Lonchura striata: one gene and its partner. The protein of the gene in region 1 purifies or fractionates together with the protein of each later gene. This does not show direct contact. Links are inferred from orthologs where the notes say so. Each region holds a gene or a part of one and is shown in the gene's direction. Other genes may lie near its edges. The genes, in order: SEC16A and SEC23B.

Region 1 (12,009 bases):
ACTCCAACGTGTCCGACTGGTCCGAGGGCATCTCCAGCCCTCCCACGAGTATGCAGTCACAGATGGGACACATCCCCGAGGCCTTCAAGTAAAAAAAAAACACAAAAAAAGGTGTTTTAGAGACGCTCACTGCGAGCCAGAATCTCCCTCGCAGGAGGGAGATTTTTTTGGGTTTTTTTTTAAAAGGACGTCGGATGCTTTTATTAAAGGATCTTTTTTAAATATGTTTTTATAAAAAAGGAAAAAAAGAAAAGAAAAAGACAAGTTGATTCCTTTTTTTTTTTTTAGTATTTATTTATGTACTTTTTATTTTACATGAGAACACTGCCTTTTTATTTATATGTTCTATTGTTAAGAACTCAGTGTGGGACACCAGTTGTGTTTCGAGAAATCAACAAATTAGGTTTTTATAGGACATTCTGTTTTGTTTGGGGGGGTTCACTGTGTTTGATTTGAGAGGAAATGTTTATGTAAAGCTATAAGCAACGATTTGTGATTCTGAAATGCCATTAATTTATTCTTTTTCTCTTTCAATTTAGAAAGAGAGGTGAGAAAGAAGAGGGGAAGGAAAAAACTGACTAAAAATACCACTCCTTAAGGGGAAAAAAAAATTAAGTATGGACAAATTTTTAAAATGTACTTTAAAATGTTTCCTTTGCAATTATATGAGAGGACATTTTATGGTACCAGTCATGAATCTTTGTTTAAATTTCAGTATTATATAGTTGTACATTTGCCTTGATAACAGAAATTTTTGTTCTCTCTTGTTTTTATATATATAAAAATATATATATTTAAATGATTTTTATGATCTAAAAAAAAAAAAGAAAAAGAAAAGCAGGATTATAGACCTGTAAGAACAGTTTCTAAGCTAAAAATAAACCCTACAAAACATGAATACTGTCCCCCATCAAAAAGAAATGTATTTACCAAACTTCCAAGAGAGCAAGCCCATAACTATGGAGTATATACACAAAGGAGACTTAATTTTACTTTGAATATCTTTACTGGTTTTTTTGTTTTGCTTTCGTGTTTGAGTAACTGTTTGAAGAAATAAATGCCAATATAAACTTTGTAAACCACATCCTTATTTTAAGGATGGGCCTGCCTATTTTTTAGAAGAAGGCGTGTCTGGCAGTGCAGACACCCCGAGTGAGATTACAAAGCATTATCACCCTGCCAGCCCCGCTCCTCTGGCAGAGCCCCCACTGGGTGCCCAGTGGGATGTGCTGCTGGTTTTGGTGGGAGGCTGGACTGGCCAAACTGGAGGGCGAGGGGCCAGCACAGCTGTGCTGTGAAACGTTGACATTTTGTTCTGTGACGTTAGCCTGGAGTGATGCATCTTTTTTTATATTGGTGTGCACTCTTTCTGTGTATCATGTAAAATATAGTATAAGCCTGTGGCAGATTTAATGTTTGTAAATATGGGGTGGGGTTTTTTTTTGGTTTTTGGTTTTTTTTTTTGGTTTGGGCTTTTTTTTTTTCAAGAAAAGGTGGATTTTGTTTCAAAAATCTAAATGAGCAAGTCTTAAATATATCATAAATATATCACCTTATAGAGGTGTTGGAATATCACTCACTCGGGTGCAAAAGCAAGCAGACACCCCAAAATTAGATAACGTGTATGGGACAGGCAGATAGAGAGCAGTTAATCAAGAAAACCTAAGAAAAGGGTTCCTTTTCCTCATTCCTTTCTATTAGAACACCAAATAAAATGGATATTTCTCAAGGCACAGCGCCTTCCTGAGCACTCATCTTAGTTAACATTTCAGACCATTGTTATTGTGACACGCCTAATATGAGTGATAAAAACATCACGTGGTGTTGAATCTTCCTATGTTTTATAAACTAGAGTGTAGTTTAAGAAAAGATATCTTCTGTAATAAAGTTATCTACATGCAAAGTTGTAGTTTGCAAAAATGATGTATTTTTTTTGGTTAACTGATTTGCAATAAATGATGCTTCTGGGCATCTAGATTTTACTAAAACTGGAACTTGGTGTTTCTGTTACGGGTCAGTTGAATTCTGGATTTCAGAGCTGCTTCTTGCACAGAGGACTGGAGCTTCCTCACCATCTTGTTCTCTGTGTAAAAAAAAAAAAATCAGAGAAGAGCTTTGGACAATGAAAATTTCTCTTTAATTTCTGCTAAACTCTCACTGATTTGAGATACCTGAGCAAGGTTCTGCCCATTTAGCTCTTCACCTGCTTTGGTATCCTCAGGCCATCGAGTCAAGATCTAAAAGGGGAAACATGGAAAAATTGTTTTAAAGAATGTCCCTCATGCATCTCCAAAAAACCCAGGAACAGCAGCACCAGAGGGAGAGTTTTACTTGCGTCACTCTGGGCACAAACACCACCCAGAAATGTTTGCTGTCCTTGCTGTGCTCAAGATTTTTAAGGTAATTTCATTTCATTTCATTTCATTCTTTCTCTACCCCACAGGGACTCTGCAGTGCAAATGCAGCTGCAAAGTCCCCAGATAACTGGATATAAATAGTGGAGCTGTTGCCCTCCTCCCAAATCACATAAGCCTGGAATGCTGGTATTTTCCACTCGGTGGCTGGGGAGGGAGAGGGTTTGTGTGTGTGTCCATCCCCAGATAGATCCAGGGCCACCAAACACCTGCTGTACAACTGGTGCTGTAACAGTGGCGTTTTATTTGATTTTCTATTTTATTTTATTGTATTTTATTTCACAGCAGTGAAATGCATCTTCAGAGGTCAGGGATGTGCCATTATTCCAGGAAAGAGAGCCTCAAACTCCATGGAAAGGAGTGTTTTAAGGGAGAACAAAACCTGTCTTCCACCTGAGAAACGTGGATTCAACACCCAGAGGGACATCCTGGAGGGAGCTGGGCTTCCCAGGGATGTGTCACCCCCTTCCTGTGCCTGCATCCCATCTGGAATGCACCAAATGGAGTTTGTCTGCCTCCAGCGTGACTCACACATGAGCTGCTCAGGAATCCCACACTGCCCAGCCTTCCAGGCTTCTCCCACACATTCCCACCCCAAAACCAGCCCAGCACGGCCCCGCTGCTGCCAGTGGGGCTGGGACATCCCAAAGTGAGGAGGCCTTAGAAGGATCCTCTCTGCCTCATCCAGAGTGAAACTGAGGCACTCGTGGGCAAGGCAGAAATTTGGCCTGGAATAGATGAAAAAAAAAAAAAAATGTTTATGAGGACATGGAAAACAATGTGACATTGCAAGAGGCAGCACATGTGGGCTCGTTTAACAAGAGGGGATGCAAAGCAGGGGATTTTCCATATCAGAGGGACAGGATGAGGAAAGAGGGGGGCTAAATACCATGGAAAGAAGCAAAGGGATGGATATTAATTAATTGTCCACAAGGTAATTCAAACTAGAAATCAGCAAAGGTTTTTAAGGAGTAGGAGAGAAAGGATGCAAAAATTTAGGTTTTAAGTGCTTAGCCCCAAATTACTTTGCTTTATGAAGGCATCTGGTGACCAACCAACCTGTGGGTACATGAGATGATTGTGGTGTCACAGATCCAGCTGGGATGGAGGCTAAATTAAAGGAGAAACAAGAGAAATGGCCCCAGTTTCAAACTCTCCTGTCACACTTAAGGCTTCTTCCCACACCAACCAACCCACGCTGCCCCACCACAAGCTCACCTTCGCCTCGTGCAGGTGAAGATTTTTGGGAGCTGAATTTGAAGCTCTCCCAGCACCAGAAGATGCCAAGGAGTGACTGGATCATGGCAAGCACGGCTGTCTCAGCATTCCAGGTGAAAAAGGCACCAAAATCACATCCTGCTCCGAGGGAAGGGTGCCGGAAAACAAGATTAGCACCGGCTATTGCCATGGCAGGTATGTTGGTGCTCTGAGGAATCCCTGCACCTGAACTATTTGTTTACCTGCTGGAGGGCTTGTTTTTTTGTTGGGTTTTTTTTTTTTTTTTTCATTCTTTGTTTTCATTATTCCTGCTCAATTAGATGGGACATTTAGAAACTGCTACTCTGTATTGCTTCTCCCTCCAGGCTGTCGGTGTTTGCTCGCAGCTGCTCCAGCCCTGATTGAGGAATTGTTGCTGAAGCTGAAATCAGCCCCTGAAGAATGTGCAAAAGGAGCCAAATTCATCTCGGGCTTAAAATCAAACAGGGGTTAATGTGGCTGGGGTAGTCTGAATAATCACAGCAACTGGATGAGTAAATAAATAAGACTCAGGTTGTCCAGTTGGCTATCATGGTGCAGAATGCTAGTAAGGGATAGAGATACTCTCCTTTAGCCTTTATCCACGTTTCTAAACTCAAAGAATGATCCTTTTCATAGCAAGCCCGTGGGGCAAGGTCGTGTTTCTGGTTGTGTGCAACCTGAAGACTGAATAAATTACCAGAAAAAGGTCAGAATTGTTTGTGTTGTATCCCAGGTGAGCTGAGGAACAGAGCAGCTGTGGCTGCCCTGGATCCCTGGAAGTGTCCAAGGCCAGGCTGGACGGGGCTTGGAGCACCCTGGGATGGTGAAAGGTGTCCTTGCCCTGGCAGGGGGTGGAATTTGATGATTTTTAGGGTCATTCCCAAACCATTCTGCGATTCTGTGAAGCAGAAGAGAAGGACACACGCTGTCCTCACTGGCAGGGATTTTCATTTATAATGGGTCACTCAAGTCCAGAACTACTGCTGAGTACAGCAAACCAGCTAGAAAACATCAGGTTAAAAAGGGATTGCATGCTTTAATGTAGAAATTCTTTATAATCACGTGTTTATCAGGAGAACAGCAAAGGTGAGATCCATTGTTGGTGTTTGCATCATGTCCCCCTATATAAGGGGGTTAAACATGTAACATAAATATCTAACTATAGACACAGATGTCAGCTATTGATGCTATTTAGCACACAAAAAGCCAATCGAGCTAATTAAAATCATGTTTCCTCAGATTACACCTGTTGGGGGAAATATCAAGGGAGAAGCAGGGCTTCATCTGCAACTCCTGCCTGCGCAGGGAAATGGTGTTTGACAAGCTGGTTTTTAAGAATGTTCCTACAAAAGAGGGAGATGAAAGGCACTTAAAAATCACAGCGCTGCCTCTGGTTCCCACACCAGCATCAAAGGCTGCTTCCCCTGCTTGGCCAGGGCTTTGAGGATATTTCTCTGCTTTAATGATCCAGCATGCAGGAACAGCTCTGCACTGATAGTGACCCTTGATTAAGATGTTTGTTTAGGTTGCTCGTGTTTTCCTCTCCAAGGCTTGTTGTTGGGTGCAGGGTGTGACAGTGTCCGTGCTGGTGGGTGACAGGCATTCTTCTGGTGGCTGGAACGGGGGTTCACCCCCCTAAAAAAGCTTCGTGTTTGTGTAAAATGGAGCTGCAACTCGCAGGGCCACGAAGCTGGTGCAGGGTCCGGAGCACCCAGAGAGGCTGGGGGGGCTCAGCCTGGAGAAAAGGAGGCTCAGGAGGGAATGTTTTGCGTTGCTTCTGCGCTTTTGATTCCCAAAGAGCTGTTTTTATGGAGTCACAGACTTGTGTGGGTTGGAAGGGACTTTCAAGATCATCTCCTTGCGCCCTGTCCATCACCTCATCCTCCCTGACGGGAGGATGGACACAAGGGACAGGGTGAAAGGACACGGCCTCCAGTTGTGCCAGGGGAGGCTTAAATTGGCTATTTGGGAAAATTTCATGGCAGAAAGGGTGGCTAAACCTTAGAACTGTGCTGGAATCATCATCCCTGGAGCGTTCAAAAGGGCACACGGATGTGGCACTTGGGGACGGGGTTTAGTGGTGAACACGGTAATCTTGGAGGGATTTTTCAGCCTTAAGGATTCTGGAATTAGTTTCTGATCCTGTTTTTGGACACGTGCATCCCAGTTAATTTGCCTTTCCTAATTAGGCCCCCACGGACGTGCAGGACAGGACCTCGCTGTGCAGCGAGTCACAGCTCAGCTCCGCGAGGCATCCTCATTTCCGTGGGCACGGATTCCTCCTCTCGGGGAGCCCCTGAGCCTCCCCCGCCCCGGCCCGCGATGGGCAGCGGCTCCCGCGGGGCCGGCACCGCACCGGCGGAGCTCTGTCCCGCCCTGGCGGCCGCCCGCGACACTGCACCCGCACCGGGCAGCGCAGGGCACCGCGACCCCCGCACCGCACCGCGCTCCGCCACTCCCCGGCGGCACAGGGGAGGCGCCGCGAACGGGACTCGAACCCGCGACCTTGCATCCCGCAGCCGCTCCAGCCGGGACTCGAACCTGTGATCCTACATCCCGCAGCCGCCCCGGCCGGGACTCGAACCCGCGGCCGCACGGCAGCGCCGCCGCCGGGTGCGCGCGCCGCGGTGGCGTCACGGCGCCGTGACACGTCGGCGGCGGCGGCGGAACCCCGAGGCGGATGTGCCAAGATGGCGGCGGCCGGCGCTGGGGCCGCGCGGGGCGGCGGCGCCCGCTGCTGAGGGGCCTCGGCCGGCGGCGGCTGCCAGGTACCGCGGGGCGCTGCCGGAGAGGAAGGACGCGGGTGGGCTGCAGCGGCGTCAGGCTCGAGGCGCGGTGCCCGCCCCGCCGGGCCTCGGGGCTGTCGCAGCGCACGGAGCCGGCGGGTCCCGCCGCTCCCGGGCCCGGCTGGGGCGGGCCGTGCTGCCGCAGCCGGGGGTTTTCCCGCAGGGTTTGGGGTTCCTTGGGCGGTCCTTGTGGCTCTGCGGGGCTCCGGAGGTTGTTCCGGGGGAGCGGCGGGGGAGGGTTCCGAGGGATGCTGGCTGTGGCTGTCCCCGCTGGCAGCGCTGCTGCCGGGGCAGGGTTGTTTGGGTTGTTTTTTGCGAGCTGCCAGGTGCCCCAGGTGGGTGCAACTGGTGCTGACTCAGGAGTGCGGCTGCCGGAGAGCCTCGGCACCTGCTGGGCTGAGAACCGGTGACTGGATCCTTTTAGAATAAACCGGAATGCTTTCTGCTGCCTCTGTGCTTTTGGTTCCCAGTGAGCTGTTCTGATGGAGCCACGGACTGGTTTGCTTTGGAGGGACCTTAAAAATCATCAAATTCCACCCCCTGCCATGGGCAGGGACACCTTCCACTGTCCCAGGCTGCTCCAAGCCCTGTCCAGTCTGGCCTGGGACACTTCCAGGGATCCAGGCGCAGCCACAGCTGCTCTGGGCATCCCCACCCTCACAGGGAAGGATTTTTTTCCTGATACCTCAGTAAACCTGCCCTGTGCCTGTTTAAAGCCATTCCCCTTGTCCTGTCGCTACATTTTAACATACATAACATATATGTTAGACGACATACATATATAGGATAACATTTATAACTCTGGTTGCTGTTGAGGAAAAGCCTGGTAGGAATCTGTCAGGAGAGTGAGTGATGTAGAATGTGTTCAATCTGTCACCCACATGTGTGCAGATGTGCGGCTGCCTACGTAAGATAAAACTGAAAAAGTAGTTGCTGATTTTAAAGCTGCAAATCTCATTTTTCCAGATGTTCTGTATTTGAGATTGCACTGGGTTGTTGGGGTTTTTTTGGTTTTTTTTTTTTTTTTTTATTTGGTTGGTTTTTTTGTAGTTGTTATTGGTGGTTTTTTTAGTCATTTTGTTTTTAGGAATCTGTGTATGTGAACACGTTATTTATTGTTTGCTTCACTTGTGAGGATGAGAGTTAATATTTGTCCTCTGTAACCTGCTTTATGGCCGTAGTTATTCTGTTCAAGAGTAATTTATTTAGATAGGTTTTAATTAGTTGCCCCCAGAGGAATTATTTACTTATAGATGAAGCTATAGAGCTCATTGGGTGAACTTAATTTTATGGCCTCATCTAAAGGGTTTTAATCCTTTTTCCCTTTTTGGCAATGTTATTTTGGTACACTGGAAACGCCTTCTGCACTCCTGGTGACTCATGTTTAGCAGGCTACTCTGCTTTATCAATTAATAAACCAGCTGAAAGTTAAGAATTTCCAAACTCTACAAAGCAGAGGTGGATTGCTCTTAACTTGTGTAGTTATTTCTAAATTCCTTAAAATCAGCATTTTTGTTAATCCTGGATGAGGCACAGGAGGGTCAGTAGCACTGAGTTATCTTCTGTTTAAATTACTCGACATGGGCACATTCATTTTATTTGGACTCAGTTCCTCAAATCTTGCTTGCTTTTACTACTGTGTGCAATCTGTTAATATTAACTTTGCTTCTGAGGAAGCTGATCTCTCATACTGAACCTCTGTCATGCACCATCAAAGATCCTGTTAGAGGAATGGCAAGTTCTGCCTAAAAGTAGGACTTTACACTTATTTTAATTAGCTAATTACTGGTGCTGGCTGTTACAAAAATATGGTAAATTATTAAGATTTTTTTTTAATATGACGCTGCAAGGGGTAAAGTCCACATTAGACACGTGGAAGTGGGTATTTAAGTTGGCTTTTGTGCTCAGCTGTATTTCAGAAACAACTTTTCTATGAAAAACAGAGCTATTTATTAGATACCAATATTTTGGTCAGTGCAGTTTGTGCTTTCCAGGTCATACAAGCCTTGGCAGATGGTTTAATTAGCTTTTTTCCTCCCCAGCCCAAAGTATGTTGTATAAACACATGCTTTTATTTGGAGGGGAGAGAGGGGTTTTTGAAATCTGGTTAATACAACAAAGAACATGATGAAAAAGAAATGGGGATGCCCAGAAGAGCATGTGGAAATTGGGGTGGGGGTTTAGGCAGGACTTCCTGGAAACGTGGCTGGCAGCAAGGCTGGTAAGCACGGCCAGCTGGAAAACCTTCACCTCAGGATTGTAACAGGAGAAAAGATTGCAAAGTCCTGAAACTCTTTGTAAGCATTCCTTGATGGAATTCAGCAGCTGTGCTTCAGAAAGAACGGTGGTCACATGCAAGTAACGTGTGAAACTGATGGAGCTCTAATGCCTCTGTTGAAATCTGTTTGGTATCCTTCCCATCTTAATAAAACACAAATTTATGGAGTCTTAACTCTAGATATGGCTGTGGAATGTATGGATATGGGGGAGAAATTGAGAGTCTCTGTTTGAAAGAGGGACCTGGATTCTACACAAGGCTGTTGGAGACATTTTTCTTTAGGAAGAGTTGTTCTGATGTCCAGTAAAGGCTGTGTGCTGCGGTACTTCAGTGTGCTTTTTATTGGAATATTTTAGGTATAAATCTTTATGAAATACGTGTAGTATTTTTGATAACAAGAAACCAGAAGTGCTTTGCATTTGAACTTCTCTATAACTGTTACAGTTTTGTCCTGATTACAAACATCTGACTTTTCTGGCTGCCCATTTTATTACTCTTACTGACAAGATGCTGAATCTTAGAAGAACTCCAAATGAGAATTGCACAGCTTTTTTCTTTTATAAGCAGAAGAGCATCTGGTGTGGAGCAATTGCTGTGGGTACTTCACTCTGCATATTATAAACAATGTTTGTTGTGTGCTATGAGAAAACAAGATTATCATATGCTGATAAGGCTTCACTGAGCTCCACTGGCTAAGTATTGATGAATTCCTCTGGTTTGCCAGCCCCCATCCTCCCCAGATTGTTAAGAGGTGATAAAATTGAAAAAGACACCCTGATGAATTTACTGAACTTCCTGTGTACCAGATTCCTGCCTGGTATTGTTTGGAGCTGGGGTTGGATTACTTCTGAGTGTGTCCTTTCCACCCTGAAGTGCAGCTGTAACCCTAATACTGTGCCAAAGTCCCTCTGGTGTTAAAGTGAGAATGGTCATTGATAGGTGGGGGTAGTTGATTGTTTTTCTATCCTTAAATGCACTTTTGCTATGCATCATTCATCTAGAAGAGAGAATATTTGTGATGAAGATGCAATTGCCTTTCTCAAAATAAATAACAGTACAGTGCCACACGATGTTTTCTTAGTTAAACCATAAGTGGACTGTTGAGGGTGATAACATCTGATGAATTCCTTCTAGGGATGCTTCTCATCTTTCCTGTGCAAAGGTCCAGTCACATGGAGTACCAGTGCAGCAGGGCTGAAGATCATCTCTAACAGAATTAGGGTTAGATCATGACTTCTCAACTCTTCATAATTAAATTGAGCAGGGCCATGGTGCTGCAGGCTCTGTTCCTGGCTGGTTGCTGTCCTGTCTGTGGTGCATATTTCTGGGAAATGTAACAGTGGGATACCACTGGAGGGTTTGACACTAGTGCAGGTCTGAACTGTGTTTCATTATCCTACTTGGATATATTTAATAGAATTGTTAAATAATGTGCATTGTTACCACACAGCCTTACACTTCATTAATGCTGGAGAAATACAATGGAGTGTGTTGGTTCCTTAGGAATTCTGAAGAACAGGGAGATATTTTCCACTTCAAATTCTTCGCGTGATTTTGTTTCTAAAATAAAAGTTGCTCAAGTGCTGCGCATATTGTGAGAAAGGGAACTGACTTATCCCTGTGTTGTCTCAGCAGGCCAGAAGAAGACATCCCTGAGCTGCCTCCGCGGGCTGTTTGTCACCGTGTGACCCTGCCGGGAGGCCACCATGCAGCAGCCACCGCAGCCCGTCCCTGCCGGGGCGCCTCCTCCTCCTCCCGCCGGCGTGGCCCGCAACCTGTACTGGAGGAACAGCCCCCTCGGCAAGCGGGCAAACGCCGCGGCTGCGCCGGTGCAGCCCGTGACAGACCCCTTTGCCTTCGGCAGGCAAACCCCCCAGGGCTCCCCTTTGGAGAACCCACCCAAGGGCAGCGCGCCGGCCTTCCCGCAGCCAGCCCCGGTGCATCCGCCGCCCGCCCGCGCCGGGGACAGCCCTCACGGACCACACAGCTCTCTGTCAGCGCCCGGCTCTCAGGCAGGCATTAGCACCAGTAGTTTTTCCAGCCTTCCAGTTCCTCCTCCGTCCCTGGGGTATGTTTTAAATAGTGCTGCAGAAGGGCATCCCAACGCCGATCTCGGACTCCGGGGGGCTGCAGTGCCGTTGCATTATAACCCAGGAGCAGCAGTGGAAAATTCTTTCAGTGTGCATCCTGGAATGGTGTCTGCAGCGAACAAACCTGGAGCTAGGCAGGATGTTGGCAGAGATCCCAATGATGCAGCTGCAGCACCCAACACAGCAGCACTCTTCCCACCACCTCCCCAGCAGCCTGGGCCCCAGTGGAGGCCTGTCCCAGGGAATCTGCAGTCTCCAGTTCGGAATTTTGTGCCCTATCCTGAGCCGTCTCCTCAGACTGACATTCATAACGTTTCTCAGCCTTCTGTCAGCACTTCTCACCCTCCTCCTCACGCAAATGTCCCGCAGGGTCCTGGACACCAAGGTATTCCACAAAACATCGTGCAAGCGCCTTTATCCTCTGGTTGTGAGAAGAATGGCAAAAATGGCCCTGCAAACAGCAGTCATCACATGAACAGCATCCAGCCTGGAAATGTGTTTAGGCAGAATGCAGAAATGACTAACCCTTGGTCAAACCAACCTTACCAGGAACAGTTTTACCCACAGCCACCTTTGCAAGGCTCTGGTTTTGTCCTCCCCACAGCTCAGGAAAACAACCCCAAAAACCAGTCTCCAGCTATGTCTGAAATGTCAAATAGATCTATTCCCACAGATCGAGATCCAGGAACTCTCTCCATGTTTTTCAAAGGGGATGAGGCAGAAAATGAAGAAATACTTTCATCTGAAAAAAAATACGTAATGGAGAAAACAGAGTTTGATGCCCGTCAGCAAAATTCAGCCTCCCTGTATCACCAGCCTGTGCATCCTCAGCAGGTAGCAACCAATATTCTCTCTCAGGCACAGCTGGGTACAGTTGGTGAGATGGTACAGAAAGGAATGGATGTCCAGTACTTCCCTAAACTTGTCAGTCATCAGGAGGCACAGGCTGCTAAGCACTCTCTGTTTGCTGGGGATGGCAAGGCACAGGTAGGTGATGCAGCTGCTGGGTCCCAGTATGAAAATGTGGAGAACCTGGAGTGCATTCAGAATCAGGAAGTGCTTCCAAGTGAACCACAGAACATCAAGGCTTCATCCCCTGCTGCTGGTCCCGATCCGTACAGGTACGGGTCCTTCCCGGGTCAGATGCTTCCCAAGAATGCTGCTGTGAGCCATGCTGAAGGAGGACCAAACCTGGAGGCACC
Region 2 (12,009 bases), on another chromosome or scaffold:
AAAATTACCCCACCTTTACTGGTCACCATCAACAAGTATATCTTTAGCAGTCTTGTATTTTTCTTCTTTCACAATTTTTTTTTGCAAAACTGGAACTGTATTGTGCTAGGCTGGTGGAGACATCTCAGGTGCACAGGGAAGTTATTTTTGGTAAGACCAAGGCTAGTGCAAATCAGAAGTGCTCAGGAGGTAGGAGATAGTAGTATTTTTTTTTTTTTTTGCATATGCACACCAGTGAGTCTGGTGTCTTTTTCTGGACTAGGTTAGAACTCTATGGTGTTTGGTCCTTTTCTCCTTGCAGGACTAACTGGCATGCATCTTTCCTAACATCTATTTCACAAATTGTTTCTTAGGTAGAGTTATCAATGGAAGACATTGAGACCATCTTGAATACTCTGATCTATGATGGCAAAGTGGAGATGACCATTATTGCTGCCAAGGAGGGGACAGTGGGCAGTGTGGATGGGCAGATGAGGCTGTACAGAGCTGTTAGTCCTCTCATCCAGCCCACTGGATTGGTCAGGACACCCTGTGGACTCTGCCCTGTGAGTAACTAATTCTGTGTATCATTAGTGGTGCATGCAGCTCTTGAACACAGGCCTGCAGTGGCCAGATGGCACATGGCAAGTTCTGCCCACGAGTCAGCCTCGGGGCTAAGCCAGCTGTGCTTAAAAGCTTTCTGTGAGGCCTTAGCTGTGGTGTAATAAGCTCTGGATTTGGTCTGAACACCTGCTCTGCCGGGTGTTCTCCACTTACAGTCTGTCTCTTTACTGGACTGTATGTGAAAGGGTGCTGTCAAGTGTAGCCTTATTATATTTCTTATCCCAGGTTTGCCTGTGTTTTTATCAAGCTAAATTATTTCTGTCTAGCTTTTGGTCTCTCCTCCCTGGCCTGTGAACTGACTTGTAGGTGAAACTTCCCAGTATGATCCTTTGTGGTGGGATCTGTTTTTCTCTTTTCCCTCAGAGCTGCCATAAGACTTCATAGGTTTTGGCCTCTGTTAGGCTTATGCTGATCTTCTGGGAAAGAAGCAGAAAACATGGGAGCATGTTACACACAGCAAGCACCATCCAACTTGACGTAATTACTCTGCTGACACAGGGCTTTCTTTTGCAGGTTTTTGATGATTGTCATGAAGGTGGTGAGATTTCTCCATCAAACTGTATTTATATGACAGAGTGGTTGGAGTTTTAAAGTGAAAGAAAACCGTAAACTGGATTCATCCTTCACAGCCAAAGTGACAAAGCAGCTTGCTTTTTTTTAAAAGCGGACTTTTAAATTTGTAAGCAACTTCAGGAAATGGAATGACAAAACAGCAATGTATCAGTTGTGTGAACTATCCTGGGAGTGGACTGGAAGTGGAGTCAGTGCTGAAGATCAAGGCTGAAGTGGAAATGTAGATCCATTCTTCAACCAAAGTTGGAGATGACAACTAAGGTGGTTAACAAAACAGATTTCTAAGCGACAGTTCAAAATAAAGCTCAAACGAGGTTGAGACATTTTAGTCTTAACATTTATCAGTCCCTCACAGCTGATCAGAAAAACTTGCAACAAGTGGTACCAAGAATGAGATCCCAAATTTTGCTTTCAGATTAATGCTGCTGATGGATGCTTAAGTTCTAAAGCTGACACTTTTCTCCCATGATAGCTTCCATCTATTTGAAGACTATGAATCTGATGTGGGAAAGATTGTGAATATGTCAGACAGACACTGAATATGTCAAACACTTATTGGTTGTTTATTATCTTTCTTACCTGCTTATTTATCATTAAATTCCTGATTTTTCTTATGTACATCTCTGTTTCATTTCCTGTGTTTCTGCCTGGTGATGCATCTGCTGTATTTATTCCTTCATCATCAAATTTCTGGTGGTGTGTTTTGCAGCTGTGTCACATACATGGATGGCTCCGCTGAAATTTTGAGTAGAGGTGTTCTGGGAAGATATGTTTTCCACAAGAGAAAGGGTTCCTCTGGCCTGATGATACAGAGAAAATTTCTATAGATTCCAGCATCCAGAGAAACAGAGGGCTGGAATGGCACACTAGGAGGCAGGGTGGGGTGCACAGGGGCTGTGCACAGACAGGCTGGCCCCTGTACCACTTGCTGCCTGTGGCTTCAGCTGGCTCTGGCCAGGGTGGATCTCTCCACAATACTCAGTATCTTTACAATGCTCTGCCAGCAATGGGGAACAATCTGGAGGTCAAGCACAACACAGGGCTTGTTGCATTTGGCTATTTTCAAGTGTGCCTGGCTGAAAACAAGCCCTTTGGACAATGTGTTGGGAGGGTGGTGGGAAAGTACCTCTGTGGCTGAGTTAGCAGCAGCCTGGGTAACCTGACAGAGGGTTAATGTAGATTTTGGAACAGTTTACCTCATAAGGGTAATACTTTACATCAGCATTTTCAATGCTATCCAGGAGTTTGCACTAAGAGCAGTCTGGATCACATACGAAAGTGTTCAAATCTTGCTTGATTTCCACTTCCCTTACAGCATGGCGGACAGAGGCTAATGAGGGTGCCTTATGAAGAATAAAAAAAGCTCCCATGGCTCCTGTCCATGCAGGGAGGGTATGGATGCAGAGGCAAAGGCTGCTTGTGTGGGAGCAGCTGAGCGTGTACTGGAGCAAACAATGAGCACCTGATAAGCTGGCAAGTCCATGGAAGGACTCTGATTGTCCCAGCGAGGTGAGCACCTTCAGCAGGCTCTCCTTTTGCTGCAGTGTTGTCTCCAGGTGAAAGGGATGCATATCTCTACAGAGGCAGAAGGGCTCTTAGGAAAGAGATGTGGGGGTGAAATGGTTGGAGCTTCATTCTCCCTCTGCCCCCTTTAACTACTCAGCACAGAGAAGCCAAGGGGAAAATGCTGCTCTCTTCCCTGGAAGGCGCCTTGGATCAGACATCCTTTATTCCAGCCAAGGTAATTTCATTGAGATGTGGGGCTGGGGTTGTCTTTGTCTTCCTGTCTTTAAAGAGGACCTGACACAATGGGGTCCTGAGCCTGCTTCTGCAGAGATAACACAATGTTTGTGCTCCACTACAGCTAGAAGATAACTTCCAGGGAAACAACAGGGCTTTATCATGCAGGTATGTCACTTTATGCTCTATAATCACATTCATTGGCAATAAGAAAAAGGAGAGAAAGCTTCTCCTCAGTGAACAGCTTTAGGAAGTAGATAGATGGTTTATTAAGCTCTTTAAATTTTGGCATTGTGTTTATCTGGCTTAGATGACCTTTGTGGTATCTCAAACTTCTTAGTGTTGAAGCTGTAACAAGACTTCTCAGATTTGGAGAAAAGTGCCTATAAGGGGAAAGTAATTTCAATTTAGTTTCTTACAGATAGCAATCTGTCTGATCTATTTCTATATGAATCAGACAAATGATCTTTCTGTCACTCTGGTTCTTCATGAACCTGGCTGATGTATTAGGCTGACATTCTTATCTGAAAAGGGAATAAATGCTACAAGGTAGCATTAATGGTGTCCTGAGTTTTGTCAATCTTCTCCTTGGTGAAGCTGTCCCTGTTCCAAACTGGTATGAAATGTAATGTTTTGAGGATACTACTATAGTAGCTCCAGTACTCAACATGAAAACATTTACATGTGGAAAGCTGAATTATCCCTTAAAACATGGATGACAAATAGGAAGCATGATCTGCTCATTTATTTTCACAGGCCTCATGCAAGAGGTTAGAGTTCAGCTGCTGCAGGACCATGAGATTCTCCTGAGCTGGAGAGAGCTCATTCTTGTTTTCATGAGCCCTGATCCTGCTGTCAACCCACGAGCCTCTTGTGAGTGGTTGCCTCACTAGTAGTAGCCAACTCTCCAAAGGCAAGTTGGAGGGTGGGCACACCCAGATGCCACATGGAGTCGAGTGCAAAATTGTGTTTTAATTCCAAGGCAAACATTCACTATGGTAGCTGGCTGGATTGTGAACTGACAGTGTAAAGCTGGCAGGTATTGTCTGGCATGTATAGCCTTTACACTCCAAAGTTTAAAACATGAGGATGAATAGCAAACTTGAAGCTTCGATAGTGAAAATTTTCCCCGTGGCTGAGTGGCAGTTTAGTTTTTCCTGGGTTTGGTCGGTTGGCTGGGGGTTTTGTATTTGTACTTCGATGGTAACCGATCCGGGTAATTGTTGTTCCGCTGGTGCTGTTAGAGCACCATATCCTGTCTCTTCCTGGGATGGCTCCCCCAGGGCTCCAACAGGAAAAAAGCTCGGTCTTAAGCCTTACTGGTTTCTTTTTTGTCTCCACATGCATTTGATTTTGGGAAAAAACTGTAGTGAGTGGAGACAACTGGGTCTCCTATTGCTGCTAAACACTTGATGCTTTGAAACAGGGTACAGACACCTCAAACAGAGCTGTCCTCTGCCACACACAGACCACCTTTCCCTCCTCTTGCTCTGCTCGGCTGGGACTTTGTGTCATTTCACCTGTGAGAAATGCAAGGCTAGGCCCTCCTCAGCCATGCTGAGCCTAGATTAGCTCCTGGAGGAGACTGGAAGGTAGCATGACAGGCTCCACAGGTGATGTCCAAGTTCTTGCTGAAAATGTTCACTTCTGCCATGAGAAAGTCAGTCATGGGACTTTGCTCACTCTTCAGGAGATCTTCTGGAGAATGGGGAGGACAGGAACCAGAGCTCAAAGTTCTCCTCTCTGACAGCTGTTTAACACAAACTAAGCTGGGGCTTGTGTAGGCAGCCTGTGGTGTTTTCCTTTCTCTCACTTTTGAAGCAAGCTTGTGTTTCTTTCAGGAAATGCTTTGGGGAAAGCTTTTACTTGGGTATTTGTTCCACAGACACAGGGCTTTAAGATTGTGCTCCTCTTCCAAACTGATTTGGTTTAACCCAGCAGACATTAAACACCACACAGGTGTTCCCTTACTTCCTCCCCAGTGGGATAGGAGAGACAATTGTAAAAAAAGTAAAGCTTGTAGATTCAGATGAGGACAGTTTAACAGGGCAGAAAATGAAGGGGAAATAATGGTAAGAGATTATATAAATTAAGTGATGAACAATACAGTTGCTCCTCCTCTGCTGACCGTTGCCCAAGGAGTGCCAGAGCAGAGGGCTGGAAACCAGCAGCCAACTCTTCCCAGTTTTATCATTCACTATATGATAAGGAACAAGGAACATCCCTTGAACCACTTGGGATCACTTGTCCTGTCTTTGTCTCCTTCCAAATTAATTGCGCACCCCCAGCTTTCCTGGCTGGCAGGAAGAACCTAAGAAGTCGTTGACTTAGCATAAGAATTGCTCAGCAAGAACTAAATTATCAGGGTGTATCAATATCTTCATAATCCTAAATCAAAAAATGCAACACTAAACCAGCTCCAAGGGAGGAAAATTAACTCTGAAAGTTGAAAGCAGGACACAAACTCACAATCATTGCTCAATATTTTAGTTAATCTAATGTTTGCAGAGGGGTGCACTATGGCCTTGAAGCCCTAGGTCCTGGTAAGGCTCTTTGCTGTTGAGATGTGGCAGTGGGAGGAAGATGTAAACAAACAGGCAACTTCAGAAGAGCAGATTTGCTTTGCCTCCTACTTGGAGAGCCAGTCCTGGGTCTGAGAATGTTAGTAATATTAGTAATTAGAATTTTACACACTTTAGCATATACATATCAGTAGCATGCTTCTACTTTTTTATTCCCTCTCTATTTGGGATGTCAGGAAGCTGGGAAGGCAAAAATGAATGTTCACCTCAGACAGCATTTCATTTTGCTTTGTTTTGGACATGGAACTGTACTCTGCATATTCCAGATTTTTGTTGCATTTAAAAGAAATAAAACAGGGAAAAAAGAACAAAACAAAAAACCAAAACAAACAACCCCCCCCAAAAAAACCCCAAAAACAACAACAACAACAACAACAACAAAAACAAACAAAAAAAACCCCAAAAAAACCCCAGAGCTGGACATGGGTGAGTAGACTTGACCACAGGGCATAATTTCCTCTAAGCAACGGTGGAGCGGTGCCCACACAGAAGCCTGGGAGATATTTGTAAGCTGACCGCTGCATGAATGTAAAGCAAACACCAAAACTCTTAGAAGCAGAGAATTGAGGTATTTCCCTGCAATACCTTTGCACCTCGAAAGTCTGCAGGATTCAGGAATGGATTTGCATCCGTGCATTCAGATAGGACAAATACCACTTGCACAGCATCACGTAAAGCTGCAGGGAAGGATTCTTGTCTTGGGCTCACTAGGACAAGCTCTTGGCTTTGGAAGAGTCTGGGAAGCAATACAAGATGGAAGCAATGAAAGAAGGACACATATTTGTCTAATTTCAAGGCAGGGACAAATTCCTGGGGCAATTCAGGTGTGCCAAACTTGTACCTCGTATCCACAGGCTCCCTGAAAATTGTGTCCATCCCTGGATCTCTCGGAGGGTCTGGGCGCTGTAGGGCTCTCCCCAGTAGGCTGAGGCACAGATTTCCTGGCAGAAGGGTGAACCACTGTGGCCTCGAGCAGATGTGGGGGTAAAGCTCTGTCAGCGAACAGAACGGGAGGAAAACCCGATGGATTGTCCCCGCCTTGCTGCTGGAATAGATGGCCTCATGCCTTTGCCCAGCGTGTGCCGCTGACCCAGCGTGTCCGGGGACAGAACCCTCGGCCCGAGAGAGGAGCTGGGAACTGAGACTCTGTGGGGCTCGCAGTTTATTTCTTTAAGAAGTGTCTCGGTGTTTTTAGTGGAGCGCTACTCATAACCCTGGGAATGCTCCCTGACGAACACACCCGAGCGCGCTCCCAAGCAGCCGAGCCCCTTGAGGGCGGGGCTGCTTCCCTCATGCCGTGCCAGGGTAGGAAGGCGGCACCGCATCCCACATTTAGCAGGGACACCCCGCCTGTCGCCATTCCAAGGCGAACCTGCCGCCCTCAGCCGAGCCGAGCTCCCTGCCGCCGCCGCCCGGCTATGTTTGGAAGGAGCCTGCCTCTCCCCTCCTCCTGAAGGGCGGCGCAGCGTGCCCTTAGCCAAGATGGCGGCGGAGCCTCAGCGGGGGTGGGGCGGGCGTGCCGCCGCCGCCGCCATCTTGGCCGCGGGCAGCGCGCACCGCTGAGCTGGCCTTGCCGGGCGCGCGGGGCGTGCTGGGAGGGAGCGGCGCGAGCGGCGCGGGCAGGTGGGAGCGGCGGGGCTCCGAGGGAAGGGAATGGGAACGGGAACGGGAATGAGGGGTCTGTGTCCCCTGAGGGGAGCGGTGGGTGACGGCCCCTGTGAGGGGGCCAGTGGTGTCCCTGCGGCAGGGTCTGGAGGGAGCGGTCAGCGGTGTCCCCTGAGGGGAGTTGGGCATGGTCCGCGGTGCTTTCATGGGGTCAGCCGTGTCCCACAGAGCAGCAGGTGCTCGCTTTGGCCGGGCTGGGGATCCGCAGTGTCCCCCTGGGCTGGGGTCAGGCGTGCCCCTGTGGAGGGCCAGCAGTGCTTTGCCCTGTGGCCGTGCCGGGGATCGGTGCTCGGAGGGGCGGAGGTGGTACCTGCGGTGTCCCCTGCAGCCGTGCTGAGCGATTACACCTGTCCTCCCGCTGTCCTGACCCCAAAGTAGGGCCACAGCCCGTGCCAGACCCAGCATGGCAATCAGGGAAGTGATGCTGGGCTACAGCTGGGGAAACATGGAATAAATCAAATGTTTATATTGCTGTTCTGATGTGCGGGATCTTTTACAGGAAGACTCAGCTCTGATTTTCACCTTGACAGATCTATTTGTAGTGGGGATGTGTTGTGAACCCTTCTTTTGTCCATCCACTCAGGGGGGTGGAAACATGGGGCAGTTCTCCTTAAGCTTGATTTACATCCTTAATAGCAAGGAAGAGGAAAACGTCAGTGAGTTTGGAGTTCTGTAGGAAAACGTTATACCAAAACTTCTCCTCCTCTGAGGGGAGGTGTTGCTTCTGATTTCTCATGTGAGTAGCCCTCCTGAATATCCCATCTGCAGTGAGGATCAGGAGTAAGGTAATCCTGGAGCATTTGCAGCTGTAGGTGAGCCTCTGAATTTCCTTGTCTGAAGTAGGTTGTGGAGCTGCTGCTTTTGGCTCAGTGAGTTGCTGCTAGTGCTGTGTGGTGTTTGTGGTCTGGATTTGACAAGTAAGTTTTTTGATAAGCTTGTTCTTGCCTTTCTCAGAAAAATCAAAAGCAGTGATGGCCTGGAAACTCTTGTTTGTGTCTTATTTTGAAGAGTTTAGTAAGACAACACAGAGAATGTGTTGGGAATATTCCTCCTTGATTTTTTTTTTTTTGAAGCCTTCTGGACTCTCAGTTCTTTCCTTATTGGCAGTGGAACAATGATGCTAGGCAGTGTGGGTGTCCAAAAGATCGTTTTTGGTATTTTGTCATGTACTCTCTTGTCTTTGTAAGCAGGTCAGGCTGGCAGCTTGGTGGCATTTGTGATTGTTTTGGTCTCAGACTTGGCCTCCTTTTCTCCCTGCAGTGTTTCAGCTGAAGGCTCCAGGATGGGTTGCAAATCTGGCCTATTTTCCTTTACTGACCCAGTCAGGCAGGATTGCCTTGAGGCCAGCATGAACCTCATTGGATTTTGACGTGTTAAATGTGTATCATAAGAAAAAAAACAACCTCTTATGCTCTGACTTTGAGTGTCAGCTTTCCTTGTTTCTTTGTTGGACTTGGTGGTGTTTTAATTGGCTGTAATGTTGATGAGAGCACTGGACAGAAGAGATTAATGGAGTCACGTGGTTTCCTTGATAATGGGATTAATTCATTGTACTGTGCTAGCTTTGTCCTGGCAGTGTCTTGTGCCCCCACCTGTAGTTGATCTGCTGAGCTCCTTTGCAGGCCTGTTGTCCACACAAGTGGCTGCTGCCCCAACCTTCTGTGCCTTCTTCTGTCCTTCAGGAGCTTCAGTGGGGCCATGGCGACGTACCTGGAGTTCATCCAGCAGAACGAGGAGCGTGACGGCGTGCGCTTCAGCTGGAACATGTGGCCCTCCAGCAGGCTGGAGGCCACAAGGATGGTTGTGCCCCTGGCCTGTCTCCTGACCCCGCTGAAGGAGCGTCTGGACCTGCCTCCTGTGCAGTATGAACCTGTGCTTTGCAGCAGGCCAACCTGCAAAGCTGTGCTCAACCCACTCTGGTAGGAATTGCTTAGCTGGGGATGTTGGAAGGGGCTGGACATTATCTAATTTTCATTTGAACTTCACTACTTTCTTATTCCCCTTTTTCTCTGCCCAGTGCCTGGCAGCCTCTTTCATTTAGATGCAGTGAGCTTGTTAAAATCCATACATCAACACGCCTGTTACTAGAGTTGGCAAGAGCAGAGGACACAGGAGGATCTTTGGAGAGGCTGTTAAGGCAGAGGGTCCTCTCAGCATCCCAGAGAATTTTCCTCATAGAAGACAAAGAGCAAACTCATGGTAGACAAAGATGCCCATTGTACTGATACTGTGCTCTGGACTTGATGCTTACTTGTTTTCCTGCTTCCTACGCACCCTGCTGCTTGTAGGTCAGTTTCCAGTATGAGCATAATGAAATAATTTTAGAGGAATATCTCGGTCCCAAATTATGAGATGATCATGCATATTGGGAGCATGGTGTTGGGCTGAGAAAAAGCAGGCAATACCAATAAGAGGAATTGAAATGAGATCAAAGCCATGGAATGAGAACGTGGCGAGGCATCCTGCACTAGCAGGATGTTGTACTGGGCTGAGGAGAGTAAACTCTGTGGGACAGGGAACAGCCTGTTTGTTCTGTGTTTGCACAAGATCTGGGTGGATGGCTCCTGCTGCTCTGAGACTGGAACACTTGTGTGCTACAGCTGCACAAACAATAAGACAATGAGATTAGCCTAAGTGTAGTGAAATAATTAGTAGACCCAAGTCTGTGTCTGCCAAGGGCTGAACTTCAGAGAGCTCAGTGGTCCCTCATGCTGACAAGCCTGCAAACGGCAGGGCTGGATTAGCTAATGAACTTCCTGGTAATAGAACCAGAGTCTGAATCCCTAAAACACTTGCTGTTCAAGCTGGAGTGTCTGTTTCTTCCTCAGTGCTGTGAACCAGCATGGATTAATGAATTAATTGTGAAGCATTCCTGTAAAATTGTTCCTGAAGTCACACCAATGCCTCATCTTTCCCTTGCAGCCAAGTTGACTATCGGGCCAAGCTTTGGGCTTGTAACTTCTGTTTTCAGAGAAACCAGGTAAGTTGGAAAAAGAACTTTGACCTTTTCAGTGAACACTTTATTGATGGCCTTCCCTGGACATTAAATGTAAATTCTGCTTCTCTAGATCCTTTCCCTTGGCCTTCTTCTCTTGCTGAACCCAGGCCAGAGTACAGTCTGGTTTACCTGACGTCTTGTCAGTGATTTTGCTGGCATGCAGAGCATAGAAAAGAGATTAAAATGCTATTTTGTTCTATGTGTCCCAGTGTGTTTTTTGCATCTGATATTTACTATTCCTGCAGAATATGGAATTCATTAGGTTTGAGTAGACTTTTGCCATCAGAAACTACGGCTAAAAGAATTTCAACTAGTACATTATTGCTGCTGTAGCCTTACCTTTTATTTACAGTGGATTGAGCAGCTGTCCATCCTGGCCCCTTGTTGGCTGTTCTTAGGAAAAGCACTGTGGGTTTTTTATAATGAATTAATCAGGTTGGTGCAGTGTCAGTAAATAAAAAGTTGAATAACTACATCATCAGCAGGGCAGGCTCTGTGCTGCATTAGAGAGCCCTATATTTTTGTTCTGCAGCTTCCTTGTCCTAATTTTTTGTTCTCTTTTTCAGTTTCCCCCAGCTTATGCTGGCATTTCTGAAGTCAATCAACCAGCAGAGCTTATGCCTCAGTTTTCAACAATTGAATACATAGTGCAGGTAAATGAGCCACAGACGAGGTTGAAGCTCCCAGAATTGTCTTGTTTGTGACAAATGATATATGTGTAAAATTTTCTTAGGATAATGCAAATAAATACCATGTCTGCAAGGTGCTTAAGAAGGGCTAATTTTATTCCTTGGCTGGAGGCTTTAGAAAATGTAATTTCTTCCCACATCAGCGAGGTCCGCAGACGCCGTTGATCTTCCTGTATGTTGTGGACACGTGCTTGGAAGAGGAGGATTTGCAGGCCCTGAAGGAGTCCCTGCAGATGTCCCTGAGCCTGCTGCCTCCTGATGCCCTGGTGGGGCTCATCACTTTTGGCCGGATGGTCCAGGTTCACGAGCTGAGCTGTGAAGGGATTTCCAAGAGCTACGTGTTCCGGGGCACCAAGGACCTGACAGCCAAGCAGATACAGGTGTGCTCTGCCATCCCTGGCTGCTCTGCCATCCCTCAGGCCAGGGGCTTGTACCTCTCAGCTCTGTTGGGCTCTCAAGCTCAGGGCTCTCTGGGAGAAAGAAGGGCTTAGTGCCCTCAACTGTGAGCCTTTTGCCCTCTCACTATCTGTCCTGTCTTTTTGCTTTTGTATAAGTACAACTCTAGCCATTTACTTTGAGTTGTAAATGTCTTGGAAGCTTGTTCAGGATTGAGTTTGTGTATCTCACATAATGGACCCATGATCCATTCCTAATGGCAGTGCAAAGATGGATAATTTTACAGATTTAAGTATATTTAATGCTACAGTATTGCATGCTTTAGAGTATATTAAGTAATAATGTAAGTAATATATTTAGTGTTTGAATAGTACATCTCTGCCTCCTCTTTACTGTTCTTAGGATATGCTTGGTCTTTCAAGGCCAGCTGTCCCCATGCAACAGGGAAGACCTCTTCAAACTCCAGAGCAGCCTGTTATTTCCAGCAGGTAAGCTTTACCAGCACAGGAGACAGCAGGGCACATGTTTTATGCCCCTTTATATCTGTAGGTCATGCCTCTAACCCTGGGTTTCCTGGGAGGGGAAAGAAGATTTAAATCGTATTGTCTTGTCACAATTACTTACCTCCATTAAAAACAGTTTTCTCTTTCTCAGCTTCTCTTTTTCAGTGATAGCTCTCATGCCTTTCAGCAAACTCACCTTTGAACTTCTTTCTTTTTCTTTATGTGACTTTGCCTTCTTGTCAGTTTCTGATGTCTTGCTA

Evidence for each region.
Region 2: the proteins of SEC16A (region 1) and SEC23B purify together in Homo sapiens (affinity purification with mass spectrometry; 3 studies listed by BioGRID and IntAct, with this or other methods). This does not show direct contact. The link is inferred for Lonchura striata from reciprocal best matches to the Homo sapiens genes SEC16A and SEC23B.

What each region holds. Positions count from the first base shown.
Region 1 is NC_134624.1:8,860,569-8,872,577, forward strand, and holds the start of SEC16A (protein transport protein Sec16A), read left to right. Parts: upstream 1-6,403; 5' UTR 6,404-6,421; intron 6,422-10,248; exon of another isoform or gene 10,249-10,349; 5' UTR 10,350-10,423; coding exon 10,424-12,009. Other genes in the region: NOTCH1 (neurogenic locus notch homolog protein 1), read left to right, coding at 1-92. UniProt on the Homo sapiens protein: Acts as a molecular scaffold that plays a key role in the organization of the endoplasmic reticulum exit sites (ERES), also known as transitional endoplasmic reticulum (tER).
Region 2 is NC_134605.1:22,409,096-22,421,104, reverse strand, and holds the start of SEC23B (protein transport protein Sec23B), read left to right. Parts: upstream 1-7,050; 5' UTR 7,051-7,121; intron 7,122-8,845; 5' UTR 8,846-8,861; coding exon 8,862-9,082; intron 9,083-9,095; exon of another isoform or gene 9,096-9,451; intron 9,452-10,085; coding exon 10,086-10,143; intron 10,144-10,727; coding exon 10,728-10,814; intron 10,815-10,993; coding exon 10,994-11,230; intron 11,231-11,648; coding exon 11,649-11,734; intron 11,735-12,009. Other genes in the region: POLR3F (DNA-directed RNA polymerase III subunit RPC6), read left to right, coding at 354-545, 1,117-1,194. UniProt on the Homo sapiens protein: Component of the coat protein complex II (COPII) which promotes the formation of transport vesicles from the endoplasmic reticulum (ER).